2 linked regions of the Rhinolophus ferrumequinum genome follow. The protein of the gene in region 2 interacts with the protein of the main gene of each other region in a pairwise test. Links are inferred from orthologs where the notes say so. Each region holds a gene or a part of one and is shown on either strand. Other genes may lie near its edges.

Region 1 (7,548 bases), on a different chromosome or scaffold from region 2:
CAATGATTTGGTTTGTCTCTTCATTTTTAAATTGTGAGATATAACACACATACATAAAACATACATTCAATTTAAAAAATACAAAGGAAACGTTCATGTGACCATCACCCAGGTCAAGAAAGAGAACAAAGCCACCTCGCAGCAGAAGTCCTCCCCTTCGTCTTTGCTCCCGCTCCCAGGTAATCACTCCTGACTTTCAAGATAACCATGCCCATGGTTTTCCTTAGTGTTTGCCACTTATATATGCATCCCTTTGGAACTTTGGAAACATAGTGGAAACATACTGCATAAACCACTCAACGCCACGTTTGTGAGATTCATCTGCGCTGCTGAATGTAGCCTGAGCTTGTCCTGGCATCACATTGGCGCGTTCTGATGCAGGACTGCACCATCTACCTAATGTATTTATCCGTCCTCCTGTCTGTGGCTGTGCACTTGTTTCCAGTTTAGCATAATTATAAACATATATGGAAAGACGTGAAATTGTTGTAGGGTATATGCAGCTTTTCTAAGTAACAGCAAACTTTCCTAGTCATTTTTTCATATTTACAATTCAAGCCCTTTAAGGAAAAGATCATGCCTTGACCATTCTCAATTATTTCCCCTTAGGGCCCAAGACAAAATTGCTGAAATTACTTAATAGATATTTACCCAGTGATGGATACAAACCAGGCTCTCTCTCCACCTACCTCGGAGGCAGGCCACACCTGCCAGCAGAAGTAACAATGTCCCAGCATAGTGAGAAAATGGCACCACTTTGGACAGACTCAAGTAACCTGGGAGGAGAGAGGGACTACGTGAGAAGCTTTCCCCACTGCACCTTAACTCCTCTTCCCAGTTCCGCCCCAACCTCCACCCCACACCCTCTCACTGGGACAGCCATGCCCTCAGAGGAAGAAGATGCCTGATGGAAGAGGGAAGCCAAGCCATCTTTGCAGGTCCCCTTTCCTCTTTAGGGGGTCGGCTCATCTGCCAACAATCTGCCCGTTTCCTGTCCCACCACCTTTGAAACCACACTGACCTTTCCTGTATAAGTAGAAGAAGGCGAAGGGAGAAGAGTAGTAAGAGATGGACCAGAAGACTGAAGCCTGCAGCAGAGAGACAGGGACAAGCAATCAATACACACACACACACACACACACACACACACGCACACACACCTGCCCTTTACCAGGCCTAAGCTCTGAGCAAAGTGGATAACCTGACGGATATCATATGAAGTACCTATTCTGTGTATGGCATCATGCACACAGTAGGTGCTCAATATTTGTTGAAAGGCAATGTGTCAGAGCATAATAGAGGCTAGGTGTAGGTTCTATTTTCTTCCTCTTATCGTCTCCAGACATAATTCATCACATTTAACGGCCAGTCTCTCTACTCAAGTTAATCAAGCCTTTTCAATTGGCCCTGCTCAGGACAGTCCCTGGTCTGGTCCCAAGAGATGCACAAATGTCACCACAGGAACCCTGCCAGAGAAAACAGCTGTCTCTAGAGCCAAAGAGGTTAGTTGCCAGGGAGGACAGGTCACTGGGGACTACAGGACTCAGCACCTGCAAATGGTCCCAAGAGTAAACACATTTTCCTCATGGCTCAGGCTGTCCCACAGAAAGCAGGGCACACGCCAAAGGGGAGTACCAAGTATGCACGTGCTTGACAGGGAGTCTCTGTGTGTTGGAGAGGTCTGCTGCAGAGCCTGGAGCATCCCCCACCCTGGGGCCGCTGCGTTCTCCCAGGCTGGGGAGGACAAAGTTCAAGAGGCAGAGGGGGCTGAAAAGATGCAGTAGTCTCAGATGTCAGAGCAGACGTACCAGGGCCAGGATGCTATCGGCATGTTTCTCCAGGGCCCGGGGCTGATAGTACGTATCCTGCCAAAACAGATGCCTGCGTTAAGGACCCTGCCCATTGACAAGTCCTCCCCCTTCCCTTCTGGAAGCCCTGATGTATGTCCTCTGGTTCCAGCCTCCAAAGCTGCCTCTCCTGGGACATCCCTGGCTCCGGAAGAAGCCCCTCTTCCCCACCCCCTCTCCTAACCTGATTTCCCACCCCGACCATGAGAACAAATACAGAGGGCTGGACTTGGAAGCAAAAGTGAAAGCAGGATTGGACGACTTTTGCTCCTTTTACTACGACCCAGTTTCAAATGGGTTGTGGACGGATGCCTGTGGGGAGAGGGGGGTTAGGCAAGAAAGGAAAGACACCATGACATCGTTCCTTTAAGAGGGAACGATGGACATCAGAAATAAGAGTAGGCTGATTAAGGAAGAAAATGTGGCTGGCTGGTGGCGGGGCAGTTTGTAGGGAACCGGAAACATGATTTGAGACTACAGATAAAAAGTAAGACAACTTAGGGGTACACACATCTCACCACACCACTCCCACCACCCCCAGCTTTCATGAGTGCAATGACCATTGGGTCTTCAGGGAAGGTTGCGGGATGATGTGGAGAGCAGCGGATAGGTGATATGTTGAAGAAGTCATGTGGAAATTAAAAACGTACTAAGGGGAAGATAAAACGGAGCCGGGAAGGCACCAAGGGTTACTGAGTGTGAAGAATTCGAGAGTTTGACGTCAAAACCATCCAGCTCCCGAATCCGCGCAGAGTCTCTCCCACGACTGAAAGAGTCAACTGGAACCGGCATGAACCATGACAGACAGGGTGGGGGGCCGCGAGAGGAAAAAGCAAGGAGGGGCAGTCGGAATGAGAAAGCGGTGGCAAACAGCGAAAAAGGAGGTGGCCAGTACACGGGCGTGACTTTAACCCCGGAAACACAAGGAGCGCAGACTCTGCGCACAACTGTGTTGACAAGCAGGCTCCCCCGATTTCCAAAAATGGGAGCTTCTGGGGAGCAAAGGCCGCAAAGGGGGTTGGGCCGTACCATGTTTCCGACCAGGGGAGATCTCGACTCACCCAGGAGCTGGAATGGGGGGTAGTGACTGAAGTTGGAGTCTCAGAGACGCTGGACGGGGCCCTTTCAGAGTCCCTTTCCCGGTAGATTTTGTAGAGCCGGGGGCCAAGGACGCAGCTCAGCAGCTTCGCCATGGCCCCGGCTCGGGCCGCTGCTCTCGCAGCAGCAGGTCCCCCTGCTGGCCCCGCCCCAGGTGCTGCGTGCTCTTGACGTCAGCACGTACCGGCTCCGCCTCGTACCGGCTTGAGACATTTTCCGCGCTTCGTGAGAAGGATTTCGTGCAGTTGGACCTACGGGTGCAGCAATGGTCAGAAATTCGACGAAGGCCTTTGGAACACGGAGAGTTAGAAAATTATCAGGCATAGTTCAATCACATTTTTCTATCGCTTAATAATATTGGCAGACACTCGAGTGACATTGGGAACGAGCGGTAGGATTAGGAGCCCTTGACAAGAGCAACAAAAAAGGTAAGGTGTCTAGGAATACATCTAATCAGAGAAATGCAAGATTTTATGAAGAAAATTATATAAAGTTATTGAAAGAGGTAAACGAAGGCTTGAATAAATGGAGAGCTACACCATGATCATGGATAGAAAGACTGAGTTTTGTTAAATGTGTGAAATACTGGTAAATAGATGAATCGTCGCTCTTAAGCATGGACAAATCTCAAAACCACAATGTTAAGTGAAAAAAAAGAAAGCCACAGAAGATTACATACAACATGACACCATTGTCTAAAATTCAAAAACACATAAAATTTAATGAACCAAGTAAGTGAAAGAGAAAGAACAAATTTAGACAAGTGTTACACAACGTAAAGGACCTTTGACTGAAATGGTAATAGTCTGTTTCTTAATAGATATACAGGTTTTAGTTTTCTTTGTACATTACACCTACATAATATAGAAACTCTGCCTTTTTAGTATAGTAACCACATACACAGAAAAGTGCATCAATTGACTGTGTCTCAGCACCCAGATCAAGAACACATTACCACACCTAGAAGACCCTCTCTAATCACCGCCAGCTGCTATCCACCCCCCTAAGAGTAACCACTACCTTAATTTTTAACCTCTTAGATCAGTTTTGCCTACTTTTGTACTTTACATAAATGGAAACGTACAATACATGCCCTTTGTTTCTGGCTTCTTTTTGAGATTCAGCCTTGCATGTCACTGTGGTTTGTGCATTCTCGTTGCTGTGGAATGTCCCATTGTGTGCATATACCACAGTTTATTTAGCTATTACACAGTTATATGTCAGATATAGTCTTTGGTATGCATGGACTATTTTATCAAAACTAATTTTTAAAAATAAGTAGCCCTTAAAAATATATATAACACATTACAAACTATTAGAGCTATATGAAGGTCTGCTCTGAGAGCCCTGCCTGGAGCAAAGGGATGAATCAGTGAATTTTCCAGGCCCCTGCTCTCCTTCTCCTTGAGTAATAACTTAATATACTCATCAGAAGCTCAGAAGAGGTCTGTGGTGTGCCAGGCAGCCACAAGGAAAGTCATTCTAAATCATTTCTGAAGTACTGACTGGGCATGCAGTCTCGTACTGGGTTCCATGGAGACCAACATGAAGACAGTTCTTCGCTCATGGCTGACGTCTTTTAAGGTTGGAGGAGAGAACACAGAATGGACTTCCAGACTGACAGGCGGGGGACAGCTATGACCCCTTCTGTGCAGGTTTCTTAGCACGAAGAGTCTTTGATCTGAGTCCCTTCACCTACGTGGGGTCAGAGGGTAAGGAGGTCATCTTTGGAATGGCCTAGACTAGGTCTTCTTCCTTCAGAGCAGAAAAGTGTTGGTCACTTTTTCCCCAGTAACCATGCAGCTGGGCTTTATCTTTCCAGCATTCCCATCCCCTCCAAAGGCCCATGTCACTCCAGACCAGGGAGTATGGGCCTTTATCTGGGCTGTTTCCTCCCTGGGGACACCAGCTCCCAGGCAAGAGAACTTGGCAGGCTCTCCACATGGCGGTCTTATTCCTCCTCCTTCTGCTCCTCTGTGGGGCCCCCCATGCTGCTGCAGGTAAGGAGCAGGAGGTGAGGGATTCTGCAAGGTCGTGAGGCACTGTCACTGTTTCTCCTTAAAGACCTGGGGAAGACATCTGACTCAAGAAGATAGATTTACCTTGACTCACCTCCCCTGCCTCTAATACTGGGGAAGACTCAGAGACAATGAGGGTCCAGGTCATGTAGAGTTTCCATTAGAAAATAAGAATGGATGAGTAAATGCTTCCAGGAGAAGGAAAAGGCGAAACATGAAAGAGAGATATGGGCGTTTGCCAACTATTCCAGCCTTTTCCCTCTTATCCTCAGATTCTCTCACTCTTTTGGGGAGAGGCGAGGAAAGCCCCTACCTCTTTTCTCCGTCTCACATTTTTTATAGCTGTCACTTGAGAAATGTGCTCACAGGCAGGCCACTGCTGAGGGATCTTAGAAAGGAAGGAAGCCAGGGGTTTGGAGGTCCGCTGGGTGTTTGTTGATCTGATGGAGGTCTCTGGCCTCACACAAGCCGCTTCCCACAGACAACATCCTGGCCATCCACGTGGTCTTGGGGGAGGCCGTGGAGCTGCCATGTCCCTCACCACCCACCCTGCATGGGGACGAACTCCTGTCCTGGTTCCACAGCCCTGCAGCAGGCTCCCCCACTGTCCTGGTGGCCCAAGTCCAGGTGGCCAGGCCAGCCGCAGAGCCTGGAAAGCCTGGAAGGGAATCCAGGCTCAAGCTTCTGGGAAACTACTCTTTGTGGCTGGAAGGGTCCAAGGAAGGAGACGCCGGGCGATACTGGTGCGCTGTACTGGGTCAGCGCCACAAGTACCAGAACTGGAGGGTGTATGATGTCTCCGTGCTTAGAGGTGAGTGGGGGCATGAAAACCAGGGGACACCGGGAGATGGGGGAGCCAAGGCAAAGAACTGAGGGGTCCCTCTCTCCCCACAGGATCCCAGCTATCTGCAAAGGCTGCAGATGGATCCCTCTGCTCTGTCCTCCTGTGCTCTGTGGTCCCCCCCAGACGCCTGGACTCTGTGACCTGGCTGGAGGGGAAGGGTCCTGTGAGGGGCCGGGTACAGTCCTTCTGGAACAATGGGGCTGCCCTGCTCTTGGTGTGTCCTGGAGAGGGGCTTCCTGAGCCTAAGGGTCGTAGACCAAGGATCATCCGCTGTGTCATGCCTCAGAACAAAGGGGTCAGCTTTAGCCTGGCAGGTAAACTGAGGGAGATATGGGAAGGCACATCCCATACCTGCTGGCTGGAGAGGAGGTGAGAGAGGAGGCAAATCTGTCCAGGAGGGATGATTTCTGGTGGAGCTGACCATATCTTGCAAGAGGAGGACTTTTTTCTCATTGACTGATTCCATAACAGAGAAGAGGGTTGGTTAAGCCAGCTATCTGGGGGGATAGACCATAGCCAAGAGTGAGAAGGAGAATCCTGGTGGAATATAGCATCGTCTAGAAATAGGCCAATCTGATTTGTGTGGCACATCCCATAGCAGAAAGGAAGAAAATAAGAATTACTGCTGGAGGAGTTGTCTTTTGAAGAAAGGATGTATGCACTGATGTTATAATGGCCCATTGACAGTGAAGGCAGAGGAGAAAAAAATAGAATCGTTTTATAAGAAAGTCCTTTACACAGAGGCAGAATGCTATTGGATGTGGAATAACCCGTTTACAAGGCCGGAGGGAGCAGCAAGTGGCCATTATTTGGGGAACAGAGGTCACCCATGGCAGCCGCTAGGCTGCGCTTCCCTCTGCATGCACGGCACCTGCTATGGTGTTGGCCTATGGCAGGCGCTCAGCGAACGCTTACGGAGCTGAGCAAGTGAACGGAAGAATGAACACATGGAAGGCACTTTTATTTTCTCTTGAAAGGGTAGATTACTGTGAAGGGTATGAGGAGAAATGAGCTATGGCCGGTTGTCTGCTCCAGAGTTAGCTGGCCGTTGTGTGGGGGGTGGGAAGCATCGCCGTTCTGCATCCATGTTGACTCATGGGGTCCGGGTGAGAGACCTGGAAAGGGGCAAAGTAGGGGAGGGGGTGTATGGGGGGTGGATTTGGGGGCAAGAAAGCTTACGAAGCCTCTCTTTGGGGCACAGGGACAGACCCCCCTCACTGCCTCACTCCTTATCCTCCTGTCTTGCCCTTACTGCAGCCTCCATGGATGCCTCCCCGGCCCTCTGTGCCCCTTCCACAGGCTGGGATGTGCCCTGGATCTTGACGCTGTTGCTCGCAGCGGGCCAGGGGGTCACCATCTTGGTCCTTAGCGTCATGCTCTGGAGGCGGAGGATCCACGGGGCTCAGTGCAGAGGTGAGTCCCTTTCTCCCAGAGGGAGAAAGGCCGCACGTGGGTGTGAGGCAGAGGGGTGGGCTCTCATCTTACCTCTGTACCCCATCTTCTCCAGGGCAGGAGGGGGAAGGGAATACAGCTCAGAGTTACCTGGTGACTTCTCTGCCATACCCCATATGGCTCTTGCTCCCCAGATGCCTCGATTCCTCAGTTCAAACCTGAAATCCAGGTCTATGAAAACATCCATTTGGCCCGACTCAGGTGAGGAACAACTAGAGGACAGAGGCTTAAATCCCAAAGAGGACTGGAGTTGGGTCGGCCTAGGGCTCTGGTTTCTGAGGGCATGGAG
Region 2 (6,979 bases):
CCTTTGCCTCCTGGATTCCCTGGCTTCACTCTGTCCCAGGCAGTTAGGAGAAAAACCTGACGCAACCTTCTCCCCCACTGCCCCACAGCTGCCATGGCTTGCTCTCTCCTGCCTCCTCAGCCCCCACTGCCAGCAACCAACTGCGACCTTTACGCCTCTCACCTTGATAAATATTCTCTCCTAACTGGCTTCCCCAACTCTAGTCTATCCTTCTAGTCCACCTCAGAGACAGGTGCAAGCCTGGGCTTCCTGAAGTATGGTTCTGATTCTGTCTCTTCCACACCTCCCCTGGATTTCTGGAATAAAGTTCAAGTTCTTTGGGTTGACAATGAAAGGCCATCGCAATCTGGTCCCTCCCCGTCAACAGTATTTGCCAGTGCACTTCCCTTCAATACCCTCTTTCATGTACACCTCCCTCTCCCAAAGAGTTTAAGTGATGACATGCTACCCCCATATACATCCCGTTTGCCCCCCTTTGTACCTCAGCTCTATGCAGAATCCCATTCACTTGACCACCCACCCTCACCTGACCCAACTTTCACGGCCCCATTCAAACATCACCTCCATGATGCCTTGACATGCCCAACTGAAAGAAGATACCTGTTTATCAGCATTCTGTCCGTTACAGTTTTTATGTCCATCCATGAGACTATGAGCAAGCTGAGAGCAAAATCTCATGTCTACGTCCCCCTACCAGAAGCTGGCATGGTGTAAGGAAACAGTCATCAGGAGAATAATCCAATTTAACCCATTCCACACTTTCCAGCCAGTGTGCTCATTGAAAACGCTCCTCATGGAATTCTTCTTCTAAAATCTTTCTGCTCCCCAGAGCCTTGGTATGGCCCACGAAACCCTCCACACTCAGCCCTCTATCCACCTTCCCAGCAGCCTCTACTCCACACCCATCCCGTTGCTGCAGCCACACGAAGCTACTCCCTGTGGCCCAGACATGCCAGGTAGCTTCACGACTTGTATATGCCAACTCCTCTGCCAGACTACTGCCCCTACTTTCTAAGTCCTACTCCTTCTTCACAACTCACCTTGGGTTATCATCTTCCGGAAGCCTTCCTGACTGTCCCACCTTCCCTTTTACACCTTCCTGGACGAGTGGCGGCTCTTCCCTGGGAGTGCCCCCTCAACATGTATCACTGACACCTTGTCACTGTCTATGGTGTCTTTTCCACCAAACCACAAAGTCCCAGAGTACTCTTGTTGCTCCTCACTGTACCCCCAGCACTGAGCTGGTATGACGCTAGTAAAGGTTCATGCAAAAAAAGAAATAAAAATTTCCAATTCAAATGCAGAAATCATGACTTTCGTCCTTCACCCCATAAAGCATGTCTTAAAGTGCAAACCATGTGGAAAGCACCCTCTAAGACTGGTTAAACAGGAGAAGCCGTTGGCCAGAAGCCACTTAAATTTATTTGAGCAAGTTGGCAATCAACAATCTACTCCCAGGCTCACTTTCATCCTGGAGACCTCAAATTCCACCCTGCCCAGTCCCCACCTTCTCTACTGAAAACCAGATTGAGAAGACAGCAATGTCAAGTCCCCATGGCTCTCACCTCCTCTCTCTGGAGAGCTGGCACAAACTGTCCTTTCTTGATGGAGACACCAGATCCTTAGGAGGAATGACTTGTTCGAGTTCCCATCTTGATATAAAATGCAAACAACAAAAACCAGGCAAATCTGAAAGGCTTGCTGACTCAGCGACACAAATTCCAAGGCACCTTTGCCAACAAGGAAGAAGATGATCAGGTTTTAAATTGAGAAACAGCAGTTAGTGAAAACGAATGCACAGATGTTGGGTCCATGTGCTGTGACTGGGGACTGGAAACCACCAGATTTATTTTCCAACAGCCTGGGCAGAGCAGAAGGTACAGTAGTCTTCCTTTGCCTACTCAATAATCAAGGGGATGGTTTAAACACACACACACACACAAACCCCGAGCCCTTTCATACTGAAGCCCAATAGGACTTTATAAGCCAGCCTGTAATGTAGGCATCCAGAAAATCAATACACCAGAGAGGGTAAAATTCTGGTCAAAGTCACACAGCAATGAACAAGAGACCTAGTTTTAGTTACTCTGATGGTTTAACTAAAGCCTCCTTTTGGCTCTTAGAAAGTCCACCTTCTAAAACTCTAGAATAGCTGGGATAGCATGCAAAAATATTTTTAGTTTCTTAAGGGTTCAAGCATCTGTGCACACACTACTTTCACTGCTAATGGCACTTAGGGAAGTGGAACCAGTGTGAAGAATAGCTGGCTGACAAAGTCGGGATGAAAGGGTAGGTAGTTCCAGAAAAAGTCTCCTAAATCCTCTTCAGCATACATTATGCGCCCCACAAAAGTAACCCAGGGTCTCTGGAAACCGGAGCTTCCCGGAAGGCAGACACCACTTGGGTCAGGGAAGCAGAGTCAGGTGGCAAAGTCCTCTACTGGAGCCCCCGCTCCAGTGAGTCATTCACCTGTGGACAGACCCCAACAGAACCCTCACCCTAACAAGGTAGCCCGGGGGTAATATCACCACCGCCTCCTGCGGGTCCTGTGAGAAGGGGTCCACTCCTCCCGACCGACCTAAACTTCCAGGGTCTGCGCCCCTCCCACTGCTCGCCCTTCGGCTTCCACCCTAGCGTTCACCCTCCCACCCAGCGCCGAGTCCTGTCCTAAGCTCCCAGCGCCTCCTAATTCCCCAACTCTCACCTCCGGGATCTTCAGTGAGGAGACCACTCCTCTCAACCCTCCCCGGACCTCACCCCGGGACGACAGTCCGGCCGGGCCCAGCCCTCCCACACTCCCACGCCCGCCCCCTTCCGGTCCCAACTCAGTTTGGTCTCCCCCGCGCCCTCCGGACCCCATCTCTGGCGACCGGCAGATGGCCTGTCCGCCCGCTCTCACCGAGGCTGAGGAGGGCGAGGGGGCAGGCTGAGGGCACTGCCGCGCTGAGGCGGCAGCTCCGGCTCGGCCTGGGCACGACTCCGGCTGTAGCTCCGACTCTGAGGAGGAGACAGCCAGAGTGAAACTCCGCGTCGCAGCTTCCTTGCGCTCCGGTGCGCATGCCCAGGACGCGGGGCCTTCTGGGAAATGTAGTTCAGGCGGGGGCGGAGCCCGGGGCAGGGGTGGGGCCGAGCCCGACGCGCACCTGTTCAGGTGTAGCTATTGTTCGTTCTTAGCCTGTTCACTTATTGACTTACTCCTTCATTACTTTACTGATTCGTTTCACATAGTTTTTACCAGTACATACATGGTTCCAGGCCCTGTGCTGGGTACTGGGGATTAACATGTCAATCGGAACTCGGTTTCCCTCCTGGAAGAACTTAGTGTCTAGTTGAGGATAAGACACAATTACAATATAGTGAGATAAATGTTGTCATAAAGGGGTGGGAGCAGAGAAAGGTGTACTTAATTTAGCGGGTCGGTCAGGAAGACATCACAGAAGGGTAATACCTGAGTTGTATTTTTCAAGCCCACATAGGGGTTTGCCAGATGGAATACAGGGAAGCCCATGCAAAGAGAGATGTGAAAGTGCCTGACGCATTCAGGAAGCAGTGAAATGTTCCTTGTGGCCAGAACAGAGTGTACATGGAGGGGGTGAGGACAGAGAAAAATGAATTAGGGTGTGGCAGGATATGAGAATGGGGAGAAGGCTGGGTAAAGTCTGATAGACTTTAAATGCCATGCAGGGAATTTAAGCAACTGGAGACAGCGTTGCCAGAGTCAGTGTTGAACTTTTAGAAGGATACCCTGTGTGGTGGGCGGAGGATAGACTGAAGGGAGAGAAAGGTGTAGGGAGACCTGTTTGGAGGCTGTTGCTGTAGTTCAGGTCAAAGATAAAGAAGCCTAAGCCAGGATGGTGATGAATCTGGAATCACATACTTCCTTTACAAAGCTAAAGAAAGTTATTCCCAGAAAAAAATGCTCAAATATCAGTGTTCACACGTGTACACACATATTACACACATTTTGCATACGGTTTCTAGGGAACAGAGTCCTCTGAATCTCAGACTCTAAGTATTTTTACATACTCTCATGTCACTCATTCTTGATCAGGGATTTCGAGGAAGATTCAGACTGCTGGGGATGGAGGAAGACACCTTCTCCGCATTTGGTTCCAAAGCTTCATTTTATAGAAGAGGACGCTGAGAACCAGGGTAGGGGAGTAACCCACCAGAAGTTCGTGAAGGAGAAGGAGCACCTGTCGTACGCCAAGTCTCTGGTACCCTAAGCCAGAACTCCACCACCTGGGAGCTGACTTAGAGGACACGTGCTTTGAGTCTAGAGAGGCACCAAAGTCAAGTTCTCCCACTTACTCCCAGAGCCAGACCTCCATCAAGAAATGAAGGATAGGGCCCGGCCCGGTGGCTCAGTCGGTTAGAGCTCTGTGCTCCTAACTCCGAACACTGCTGGTTCGATTCCCACATGGGCCAATGGGCTCTCAACCACAAGGTTGCCAGTTCAATTCCTCGAGTCCCACAAGGGATGGTGGGCAGTGTCCCCTGCAACTAAGATTGAACACGGCACCTTGAGCTGAGCTGCCGCTGAGCTCCCAGATGGCTCAGTTGGTTGGAGTGCATCTTCTCAACCACAAGGTTGCCAGTTCGACTCCCGCAAAGGATGGTGGGCTGTGCCCCCCTGCAACTAGCAACAGCAACTGGACCGGGAGCTGAGCTGCGCCCGACACAACTAAGACTGAAAGGACAACAACTTGACTTGGGAAAAAAAAAAGAAAAGTCCTGGAAGTACACACTGTTCTCCAATAAAGTCCTGTTCCCCTTCCCCAATAAAAAAAAAGAAAAGAAAAGAAATGAAGGATAGCATTTTATTTGTGATTTATACTAGGTGACTGCAGTGGCTACAACTCAGGATGGGAACATATCCCTTCCCCTTTCAGTCTCAGTCTTCTCAGCCATAACCATCTACAACATTTCTAAAGCACCTAGTGTGTGTCGAGTACTTGACATGCATCACCTCACTGAATTCTTTCAATGAGATCGGTGTTATCGTTATCCCTATTTTAAAGATGAGGACATTTGGGGTGGCTGGATGGCTCAGTTGGTTAGAGCGTGAGCTCTGAACAACAGGGCTGCCGGTTTGATTCCTGCATGGGCCAGTGAGCTGCGCCCTCCACAACTAGATTGAAGACAACAAACTGCTACTGAGCTGCCGGTGAGGCTGCGAGATGGCTCAGTTGGTTACAGCGTGAGCTCTTAATAACAAGGTTGCCAGTTCGATTCCCATATGGGATGGTGGGCTGCACCCCCTGCAACTAAGATTGAAAACGGCGACTAGATTTGGAGTTGAGCTGCACCCCCATAGCTAGACTGAAGGACAACGACTTGACTTGGAGCTGATAGGCGCTAGAAAAACACACTGTTCCCCAATTTAAAAAAAAGGACATTTGAGGCCCATTGAGACACAGAGCTTAAGCAATGTGTCTAAGGTGACATACACAGTTGGCAAGTGGCAGAGTGGCAGAGCTTGTCTTTACATTCAGGTAGTGTCCAATTCCAGATATGAGCACCCCCCCATGACTGGCCTCATTGGGGGAGGGAGTGCAGATGACATGGTCTGAAGCATTAGAAAAGTTATTCAACATTCAAAAGATAGATAGATAGATAGATAGATAGATAGATAGATAGATAGATTTTTTTTTAAAGATTTTTATTGGGGAAGGGGAACAGGACTTTATTGGGGAACAGTGTGTGTTTTCAGGACTTGATTGGGGAACAGTGTGTTTTTCCCAGGACCCATCAGCTCCAAGTCAAGTTGTTGTCCTTTCAATCTTAGTTATGGAGGGTACAGCTCAGCTCCAAGTCCAGTCAATCTTAGTTGCAGAGGGCGCAGCCCACCATCCCTTGTGGGAATCGAACTGGCAACCTTGTAGTTGAGAGCACATGCTCTAACCAACTGAGCCATCTGGCTGCCTGGGAGCTCAGTGGCAGCTCAGCAGCAGCTCATTGTTTTCATTCTGGTTGCAGAGGACGCAGCTCGCTGGCCCATGTGGGAATCTAAGCGGCAGCCCTGTTGCCCAGAGCTCGTGCTCTACCCAACTGAGCCACCCATCTACCCCAAGGTATTTTCTTAAGTGCTTCCTTTTTCCCCAGTAAAACGCTGGAATGATAGTTATTGTCCAAAAACCCCACTGCACACACACCTAGAGACACCAACAGAATAATGGTGGGAGAGTGGGTTTGAAAGCTTCTGGAATCTAGGCTCCGGAGAGGGGAGGATCTCTAAACCCAGAGAGCTGGAGCAGCTGGAGCTCTGGGGGAGGCTTGCCAGGCCTGCCAAGGTTGAGGACTAATGGGGGATCCAGGAGGAAAGCTGGGGTAGAGAAACTCAACGGAGGCAGGAAGGACACTCACTGTCTGGAAGCCTGGGTGCATGGGAGTAAACTCACATGGGGTGGAGAACACTAGAGAAGGGGGGTAGTCAACAAGTTGAGTATGAGTAGGGGAGAGGGAAGACCAGCCAGGTGTGAGGCTCTGGAGAGATCTGGGCTAGAGACAGGGATTTTGGAGTCACTGACAATGACATCGAGGTCACCTAGAAAGACCACAGAAGATGACAAAGGGTGAGTCCAGGGCTAAGAAACACTGGCCTTTGAAGGATAGGTGAGAGGTAGGAGTGTCTGGGGAAGGGGCTGGCTTGGGTGAGCATGGCAGGGAACCAAAGGGAGTGTCCCATGAAGGTGGTGCTCTGTGGTGATAGATACTCCTGAGAGGCCCAACAGGATGGTCCCCTGGGGGGGCAGCCTGTCCCAGAACCCAGGGCTCCTGCCTCCCAGGTCTGGGCTCTCTCATCTTTTAATCTGCCAGCTGACTTCAAGAAAGGTCCCAAACTTCTGACTTTGCTACAGGGAAGCCATTGGTGACCAGAGTGGTTTCCATGGAGAGTGAGAAGCTGGAGCAAATATGTCTGTGGTCATGAAGGTCAGGGATGCAGTCTAGAAGTGGAGATAGCTCTTCCAAGGACAAT

What was found.
Region 1: the proteins of DTX2 (region 2) and ABHD16A interact in binary tests that used the Homo sapiens proteins (3 or more experiments, as listed by UniProt). The two-hybrid records come from large-scale screens. The link is inferred for Rhinolophus ferrumequinum from reciprocal best matches to the Homo sapiens genes DTX2 and ABHD16A.

Annotation. Positions count from the first base shown.
Region 1 is NC_046286.1:2,188,082-2,195,629, forward strand, and holds the start of ABHD16A (phosphatidylserine lipase ABHD16A), read right to left. Parts: upstream 3,095-7,548; 5' UTR 3,041-3,094; coding exon 2,909-3,040; intron 1,866-2,908; coding exon 1,809-1,865; intron 1,089-1,808; coding exon 1,022-1,088; intron 777-1,021; coding exon 690-776; intron 1-689. Other genes in the region: LY6G6F (lymphocyte antigen 6 complex locus protein G6f), read left to right, coding at 4,888-4,945, 5,445-5,774, 5,858-6,121, 7,065-7,220, 7,394-7,460. UniProt on the Homo sapiens protein: Phosphatidylserine (PS) lipase that mediates the hydrolysis of phosphatidylserine to generate lysophosphatidylserine (LPS). LPS constitutes a class of signaling lipids that regulates immunological and neurological processes.
Region 2 is NC_046290.1:92,357,782-92,364,760, forward strand, and holds the start of DTX2 (probable E3 ubiquitin-protein ligase DTX2), read right to left. Parts: upstream 3,046-6,979; 5' UTR 2,900-3,045; intron 2,781-2,899; exon of another isoform or gene 2,705-2,780; intron 1,731-2,704; exon of another isoform or gene 1,566-1,730; intron 1-1,565. UniProt on the Homo sapiens protein: Regulator of Notch signaling, a signaling pathway involved in cell-cell communications that regulates a broad spectrum of cell-fate determinations.